2 linked regions of the Sus scrofa genome follow. Each later gene encodes a partner of the first gene's protein in a complex. Links are inferred from orthologs where the notes say so. Each region holds a gene or a part of one and is shown in the gene's direction. Other genes may lie near its edges.

Region 1 (3,780 bases):
TTCCAAATTTTTAATTTCAGATTTCACTAAATGCTGCAAGGACTCTGGAATCCTTATGGTAGTAAAATGCCGGAAAGAAAATTCTGCATTGAAAGACTGTCTAACTGCTTAGTAAGTAGTTACCTTAGTGTTTTTGCTGCTGCTGCTGCTGCTGCTGCTGCTGGTGTGTGTGTGTGTGTGTGTGTGTGTGTGTGTGTGTGTGTGTGTGTGTGTGTGTGTGTGTGTGAGAGAGAGAGAGAGAGAGAGGTGTTCTAGGTAAGAGCATAGTATTTAACTCATTACATGTAATATATTCTGTACTTCTTCCCCCACCAAATTCATCATACTGTTGCTAAGTCTAAAACTGTAATTTGTCAAAGATTGTTCTGAAAAAAAAAGGAAATCTCACATATTCACGAAGGGTCTTTTCAGGTTACACGTATTTTTCAGCATTTTATCTGATTAAAATTCTAGGTCTGGACTTCCCTGGTGGCTCAGTGGGTTAAGGATCCAGTGTTGTCACTGCTGTGGCTAAGGTCGCTATTATGGTGCGGGTTTGGTGCCTGGCCTGGGAACCTGTGTGTGCCACAAGCACGGCCAAAACATAAAAGTGCTTCTTATATGTAAGGTTCACTGATGTTTTATTGAATGCAGGTGCTCTCTGCTCATCTCCTCACTCATTGTATTACCCACGTTGTTGGCATTGCAGAGTGTGGTCCTTCAGCGAGTAGTTAGTTGGTAGTCGTCAGCGAGGCCTCACGTTTGGACGGCCCTTCCTTCGTTCCGTGTTCTCCTCCCCTGGCCTGGGAACCATCTATATCAGGATGTTTTGACACTTGTTAGGCAGTTAGGTAAAAAGAAAGTTGTAACTATCTGAATCTTATATTTGTTTTCTTTTTTGATGAGGAATAATGTACATGTTAAGTTTACAGACAATTTTAGAATACTGGCTTGGAAGACCTTAGAGATTATTTAAACTAGTCCCCGCATTTATACATGAGGAAACATATTCTAAGTCCACATATCTTTTCTCCAGTGAATAAGAGATTAAAAGCAATTCTAACAGCTGCTCTTTTTTATGAGCCCGGACCTGCACTAAGCACTTAACTGGAGAAGTAAGAGTTTTGATCCCTGGAGCTTCCAAGAGATGTTTGTTGACTAGAAGCTATTCAGCTGGTGCCAGTCATCATCATCAGCTATGCCTCTTGGTTGGGGTGGGCAGCCCTGGGGCAAAGGGCCCAGGAATGTGGCCAGGAGGGCGGCCAGGCTCGTGTCCTCTGGGTCCCCCAGAGCACAGCACCGCCTCCGTGACATTTGCTGCAGGATACCTGGAGGCCCCCATATGCACACATCGCCCCAGCACAGGGTGCCCAGTAAATGTTAGCTCTGTTTTTCAGTTTGTATTTGTTATTTATTGACTGCTGTTATCTGCATCATAATCATTTGAATGTCCTTCCTTCTCTTGCCCCACGAAGATAGGAAGGTAAAAATGATAGGTTCTGGCCCATCCTGGGAGATGGCTGGGAACACAGAGGGGAGGCCTCCACTTAGGTGGAAGCAGGCAAGGCAACAGGCCATGACTGACATTTGCTGAAATTGAACGGAGGGCTGTTCCCAGAGAATGTGTTATTTGACCTTCATTCTCAACATATGCTAAGAGATGCTCTGCTGTATTTACTGTTGCCGTCCCATGGACGCGCTCCTACCCTCTCATCTCTTCAGTGACCTCTTGAAACACTGATGGTTTGTGTTCTCTTATGTCCCCCGTCTCATCCTCATTTGTTCCTCAGTAAACTGCAGTCTGACTTCTGCCCTCACCCGGTGTAAGCTGCTCTTCCTAAAGCTTCTAGTAGGTATCCTCCCATCCTTTCTAAACTCGACCTCTCTGGAAACCCCTAAGATGCTCTTCGACCTGGCTTCCCTCATTACCCTCTTTTCTCTTCCCTCAGCATCTCTGTCTTTCTCTTCTGGACCTTTTCTTCCTCTCCTCTTCCTTCATGTCGGTTTGCCAGATCTTCTCCTCATTGTCAAATATGACAAAGGTCAGTTTACATCCACGGAATCCAGCTCCTTCCTGTCAATCGTGGATTCATTTCTTGGCTCTCTTCTTCAGGCCCCATACTGGACTTGGCCCTTTGACTCTTGCATCCTGTGTCTTTGTCAATTTCACTCGTCTAGAATCCAGAATCTTCCTGGGCTCCTAATTGTTCATTTCATCTCCTGAGTTACCCCCCAGAGCGATTTCACCCTTCTCATCAGGATGTGCCTCCCTGTGCTCAGGCCCTCTTTGCATCTTGTCTGGGTTAAGGTCCTGGTTTATTTATTGGACACTGCTCTCACCTTGCTGGCCTTTTGCCACAAGTTGTCAGACTTATTCAAGACACAGAATTGATCTCACAGCTGTCATATTAATAGTGCCCATTCGGGTAGATCTGACTTATTAGAGGGGCATGAATGGATCATCATGACCGGGCCTCTGCCATTCTGGCTTCACCTCAGCCCCTTCTTCTGTTGAGAAACTGCTATGCTGGTACTAGTGTACATATAGCTCTTCGCCCGTCAGTGTTTCCTCATCTGTGGGCTTTTCCACATGTGCCTTCTATGTGCATTTTTGTTGGTCCTTCAGAATGTGGTTCAAATATCCCTGGACAGTGTCCTTCTCCTGCTGCTCCCTTGTTTCCATGGTGCGCTGGGCCACGCCTCTGTCTCCCACCCACATGCATCACTGTGACACAGGCCTTGTCTTCTGACATCTTGGACTCCTGAGGACGGTGCCGAGCTTCCTGTTTCTCTCTCCTGGCTATCCAGAAAAAAAAACCTATTAGGTCTTTTTTTTTTTTTTTTCTCCCTTTAATTTGGTAGCTGAATGTTTACAACAAATTTGACCATTATTAAAAATCTGCTACTAAAGATTGTGTCTGATGAACTGGATGTCTGAATGTATTGTGAAAGGGAGCTTATATTATATGCTTGCAAAGTAATTCACTTTAAAAGTTTTTTCTTTCTTATAGCTATAATGATCCAGCCTTTTATGAAGAATGCAAAATGGAATATCTGAAGGAAAGGGAAGAATTCAGAAAAACTGGGATTCCTACCAAGAAAAGACTACAGAAGCTTCCCACAAGCATGTAGGCGAAGTCAAATGATACTCAGGAACCCTAATATCCATGGAAATCACAGTCACCTGAAATAACGGACTTAAGGAAGTGTTTGCTTTACCCTTAATTACGGAAATAATTTTATCTGAAATAAAGTTCTTGCAAACTTCAAAGTTAAGTTTATTAAATAGGATAGGAGTAAGTAGTAAAATGGGATGTGGTCTGCTTGGTCATTATGGATTTTCCATTAACTTTTGCACAACTGTGGTTCTGTAACAGTGACAGCTGATTTCTTAAGTTTCCACATGACTCTTACCTTACTCTCCTCATGTGGCCAGCATTTACTAAAGCAAAGCAGGAATGGACAGCCTTCAGAGGTGTAGTAACTTGGCAGTATAGCATAATGGTTATGAACCTACCATTTATTAGTTAAGCAACTGTGGATATGTCTCATAGTTACCATGAGTATTAACCAAGTACTGCAGGTAAGTAGAGTAGGTAGGACAGTGCCTTGCACATGGTAAGTGCTCTTTGTAGTTATTATCAGTAGTAGTATGAGTATAGTATTTTTAATGGCCACATCTGCAGCATGTGGAAGTTCCTGGACTAGGGGTTGAATCAGAACTGCAGCTGAGGCCTATGCCACAGCCGCAGCAACACCAGATCCGAGCTGCATTTTTGACCTACAGCACCTTAACCCACT
Region 2 (4,423 bases), on another chromosome or scaffold:
CTTCCTCCTCTGAACTTCTGCAGCCCCCAAGACTCCATCACTCATCAGCAACAGGCTGTGTCGGGTCATTAGCTGTCTTTTTATGTATATGTCCTGTCCCTCCATCCACATGACAGGATCCTGGAGAGCAAGGGTCATGTCTTATTCATCTTTGTGTCCCCCGTGGCACTTTGCCTGATGTTTGGGGCACAGCGGACAGTCCATAAATCTGCTGACAGATTGAATACCTGATTTATATGCTTCTGGAACCACAGAGGTACATAGTAGCTTGACTCAACTACAAAACTACAAAGAAAAGAGGAAACCTGTGACCTCCACACCATTTCCGAAAGATCGTAAATCTTTTCTGCACTAAATAATGATGCTGGGGTCAAGATTTGTTCCCCAGCCCCCAGCTGCTGGTATCATTCTTATTTAAAAACGATTGAGTGAAAGCCCAGGGAATCTTAGTCTCAGCTGTCCAGTACCGCTGGGTGGGTCATATACTGACACAGCCCCCCCCCAGAAACATGAAGGATGGCAATCACAGGAAGAGGAAGCAGATCTGTCCTCAGTGGCTTCCACCCCAGGCAACAAGGCAGAGCCCCAAGGTCCCATTAGTAGAACTGGCTGCTGGCTCCCTGCCCTGCACGGATCTCTATTCCCCATCCTCATTCGTAATCCTGACATCCAACAAAGGGAAGAGGGAGAGAGGAGAGCATGGAAGATCAGAGTCAGAAAAGATTTACTTGTAGTTTGGATGTTGCAATAATATTCCTCCCAAGCTAGCCTTGGTTCAGAAGCCCCTGCTGGCCATCCAGGGTCAGGCGATTTGCATTTGTCTCTAATCCCCTCAAACCGCCCTTAAGGCCAAGCAACTTGTTTAAATCATGCAGCCAAGACAGGATTTCCTCATCTGTAAAAGATATGTGGATTAAATCAATGAGCCCTAGAGAGCATCCACCTCTTGGTGGAGTCATGAAAATCAAACCAGTGGTGGAAGAAGGAAGTTTGGTTGGTAAAGGAGGGAGTGGTAACGAGGTCAGAAGAGTGTGGGTGGAGCGGCTGAGAGGTGAACCCGGTTTAGGGCAGGGGGCGGAACTGAGATCAAGAGCAATAAAAGCTCCACTCTCCATTCTCCCAGCTGGCGCTCGCCCTCCGGAGCCAGGCAGCCAGGCGCTGCCAGGCACCGCCCGGAGGCGGTGCGTGGGGTTACACGCCTCGCCCCTTCCTCCCCTAGTCCCACCCCCGCCCCAGCCCCACCCCCTGCCCTAGCCCCACCCAGTCCTAAGCCCCGCCTTCGGTGCCACCCTTGACCCAACCTCTTCCCGCCCCTGTTCCGCCTCCTAGCCCCGCCCACAAGGCCCGGAAGCAAAAGCCGTTTCTCCACTTCCCAGCCGGGTCACGACCCAGCGGGCAGGAGCCAGGATTGCGAGAGCTCGGTGTCCTCAGCGGGTCAGCGAAGGCCCGGTTCAGAGCCATGTCCACGAATCTGCGCACCGCGCTCATTTTTGGTGGCTTCATCACCCTGATCGGCGCCGCCTTCTACCCCATCTACTTCCGGCCCCTAATGCGGCTGGAGGAGTACCGTGAGTGACCTCTGACCACCACGCGGTGCCCTGGTCCCAGTGACTCCCTCTCTTTCCCCATCCTCTCCACGTGGGGCCTTGGGCAGAGCTTGGCTCGCGAGTCAGGGAGACCTGGGTTCGAATCCTTTGTGTGCAGCTTTGTGACCGTGGACAAGTGACTCCACCTCTTGGGCCCTCACTATCTTCATCAGTAGTTATGTGTTTCTGTAGTATCTTAAAATAAAACCGTCTAGCCTCTGCTGAGACTCAAAGGCAGTCTGCACGTCGTAGGTCAACACTAAATACGAGTTAATATTCATAGCTAACATTCACTGCAGGCTTCTATGTCTCGTTAATGCACATAGGATCTTTTAATTTACACCTTTTTTTGAGGTACATGTTGCTGTCTTACAGACGGGGAAACTGAGACTCAGGTTGTGTAACATGCCCAAAGTCACACAGCTGTTAGCGGCAAGACACGTATTCCAACCCAGGCCTCTGTCTCCAGAATTTCTTCCTTGTACTGAAGCTGGGAAGGTGATATTGGGGGAGGGAGGTGGGCCCTAATTGTCCTGAACTTGCAGATGTGTTTATTGCACTTCATTTCCGCTCCCAAAGATGTCTTTGATCAGAAATGTCTCAGAGCTAAACTGTTAACCTGAGGTTTTGGGTTTTTCCTCTTCTTTCTCCTCAAATCTTCCTTCAGATTCTGCTATCTTCCTTCATTTTAAGCTGGTTACTCACATGACAATGGTGAATATCCTGGGAGTAATTTTCTTCCTTAATCATTCCAGTCCTATCATTCTAAAAGCCACACTCCCCTTCCTTGAGACCTATACCTCAGCAAGGATTAGCACTTTGATACATCTGAAACCATCTGTCAGAGAGAAAATATTAGGCATTAGAGGCTCATTTTGTTCTCCAGGAAACCTGAATCATCTAGAAGATGGAAAAGGGCCAACCTTGCCCCTTGAGAATATCAGTGGAGGCTGTGAGCTTGGTGATTTGAAGGCAAAAGTGCTGTATAAATGCTCTGACCATTACAAATGCTACAACATCTGGTTTCTGAGGCAGAGCGGTTTAAGTACACACTCAAATTTCTTGTAGCTTCTTTTCATCAGTCAAGATTGAAATGGCCTCTGCACCCTGCCTTCCAGCCTATCTATCTACGTGACCACGCGTGACCACGCGTGACCACGCGTGACCACGCGTGACCACGCGTGGGGGTAAACATGGGACCTTGGAAGCCCTGCGTTATCTCTCTGTTTTATCCCTTCTTACTTGGTCCTTGCCCCGGGCTATTGTATTATAGCCCCTAGAGTTGAAGCTGGGACAAGGGAATCTACTTTGGATCCTACTTGAAAAGTTTCAGTTCTGAAGACTAGAGCCGTACCTCTCAACTGGGGATGATTTTTGTCCCCCAGGGGACATTTAGTTCTATCGGGAGACGTTTTTGCTGGTCACAAAATGGGTGGGGTGGGTGGAGTAAGTGTGCTCCTGGCATCTAGTGTATAGAGGCCAGGGTGCTGCTAAACTCTCTGTAATGCACAGGGCAGCCCCCACCCCTTAACAAAGAATTACCCAGCCCAAGATGCGAGTGGTGCCAGTGGTGCTGGGTTGAGAAACCCTTGCTCTAGGGCAGATGATCAAGGTGGGTTTGTGCTGTGTCTCCCAATGACAGTCTTAAAGGAATAGTCCAGGGAGTTCCCATTGTGGCTCAGCTGTTTAAGAACCTAATATCCATGAGAATGAGGGTTTGATCCCTAGCCTTGCTCAGTGGATTAAGGATCCAGCATTGCCACAAGATACAGCATAGGTCGCAGGTGCAGCTCAGATCTGGCACTTGCTGTGGCTGTGCTGTAGGCTGGCAGCTGCAGCTCCAGTTCGACCCCAGCCTGAGAATTTCCATATCTGGCAGGTGCAGCCCTAAAAAAAAAAAGGCGGGATGGGGAGTAGTCCAGAGTCTATGGTTGCCTGAGTCACCTTGAGATAGACAAATGAGGCCTTTAAAGTGAACATTTAGTGCATGTGGCTCCAGTATCTGCATTTTTAACTGTAAGGCATTCTACAGCTGCCTGCTTTTCTGGTTCAATTTTAATTGATTTGAACAACTCTTATCTGAGAGTCATAACTGATTCCTTAAAAAAGTAAATAATACTAAATAGCTAATATTTATTGAAAGCTCTCTTGCAAGCACTTGATATATATTAACCCATTTGGTTTTCATAACAACCCTTTGTGGTAGCTGCTGTGTGACTAGCTCCCTGTTTTATTTTTTAATTCTATTCTATTCTACTCTACTCTAAACTATTTTATTTTTTGTCTTTTCTTTCTTTTTTTAATTTTTTTTGGTCTTTTGTCCTTTTAGGGCCGCGCCCGCAGCATATGGAGGTTCCCAGGCTAGGGGTCTGATCAGAGCTATAACTGCCGGCCTACACCGGTGCCATAGCAACGCAGGATCCGAGCCGTGTCTGCGACCTACACCACAGCTCACAGCAACGCTGGATCCTTAACCCACTGAGCGAGGCCAGGGATCGAACCCACAACCTCCTGGTTCCTAGTCGGATTCGTTAACCACTGCGCCACGATGGGAACTCCCATCATCCCCATTTTATATGTGCACAGACTGAGGTATGGAACAGATAACCTGCATAAGGACCCACAGCCGATGAGTCCCAGACATGGGATTTGAACCAGGGCCCTTAATCGCTTTACCAGGGCACCAGGCCGTCTCTGTAAGAGGGCGAGAAAAGGGGTAAGTCAGATAAGGGCCTAAAATCCCTTACTCAAAGAGGTGAGTTCCTTAACCTCTCTGAGCCCAGCCTGTTTGCTAATCGGTAACAGTGGAATTTGCAGGACTGAATTTACATGTTTGT

Evidence for each region.
Region 2: CMC1 (region 1) and SMIM20 share a complex: the UniProt entries of both Homo sapiens proteins name them as parts of the MITRAC (mitochondrial translation regulation assembly intermediate of cytochrome c oxidase complex) complex. The link is inferred for Sus scrofa from reciprocal best matches to the Homo sapiens genes CMC1 and SMIM20.

The regions. Positions count from the first base shown.
Region 1 is NC_010455.5:14,751,440-14,755,219, forward strand, and holds the end of CMC1 (COX assembly mitochondrial protein homolog), read left to right. Parts: intron 1-20; coding exon 21-111; intron 112-2,990; coding exon 2,991-3,111; 3' UTR 3,112-3,250; downstream 3,251-3,780. UniProt on the Homo sapiens protein: Component of the MITRAC (mitochondrial translation regulation assembly intermediate of cytochrome c oxidase complex) complex, that regulates cytochrome c oxidase assembly.
Region 2 is NC_010450.4:19,699,700-19,704,122, forward strand, and holds the start of SMIM20 (small integral membrane protein 20), read left to right. Parts: upstream 1-1,342; 5' UTR 1,343-1,459; coding exon 1,460-1,568; intron 1,569-4,423.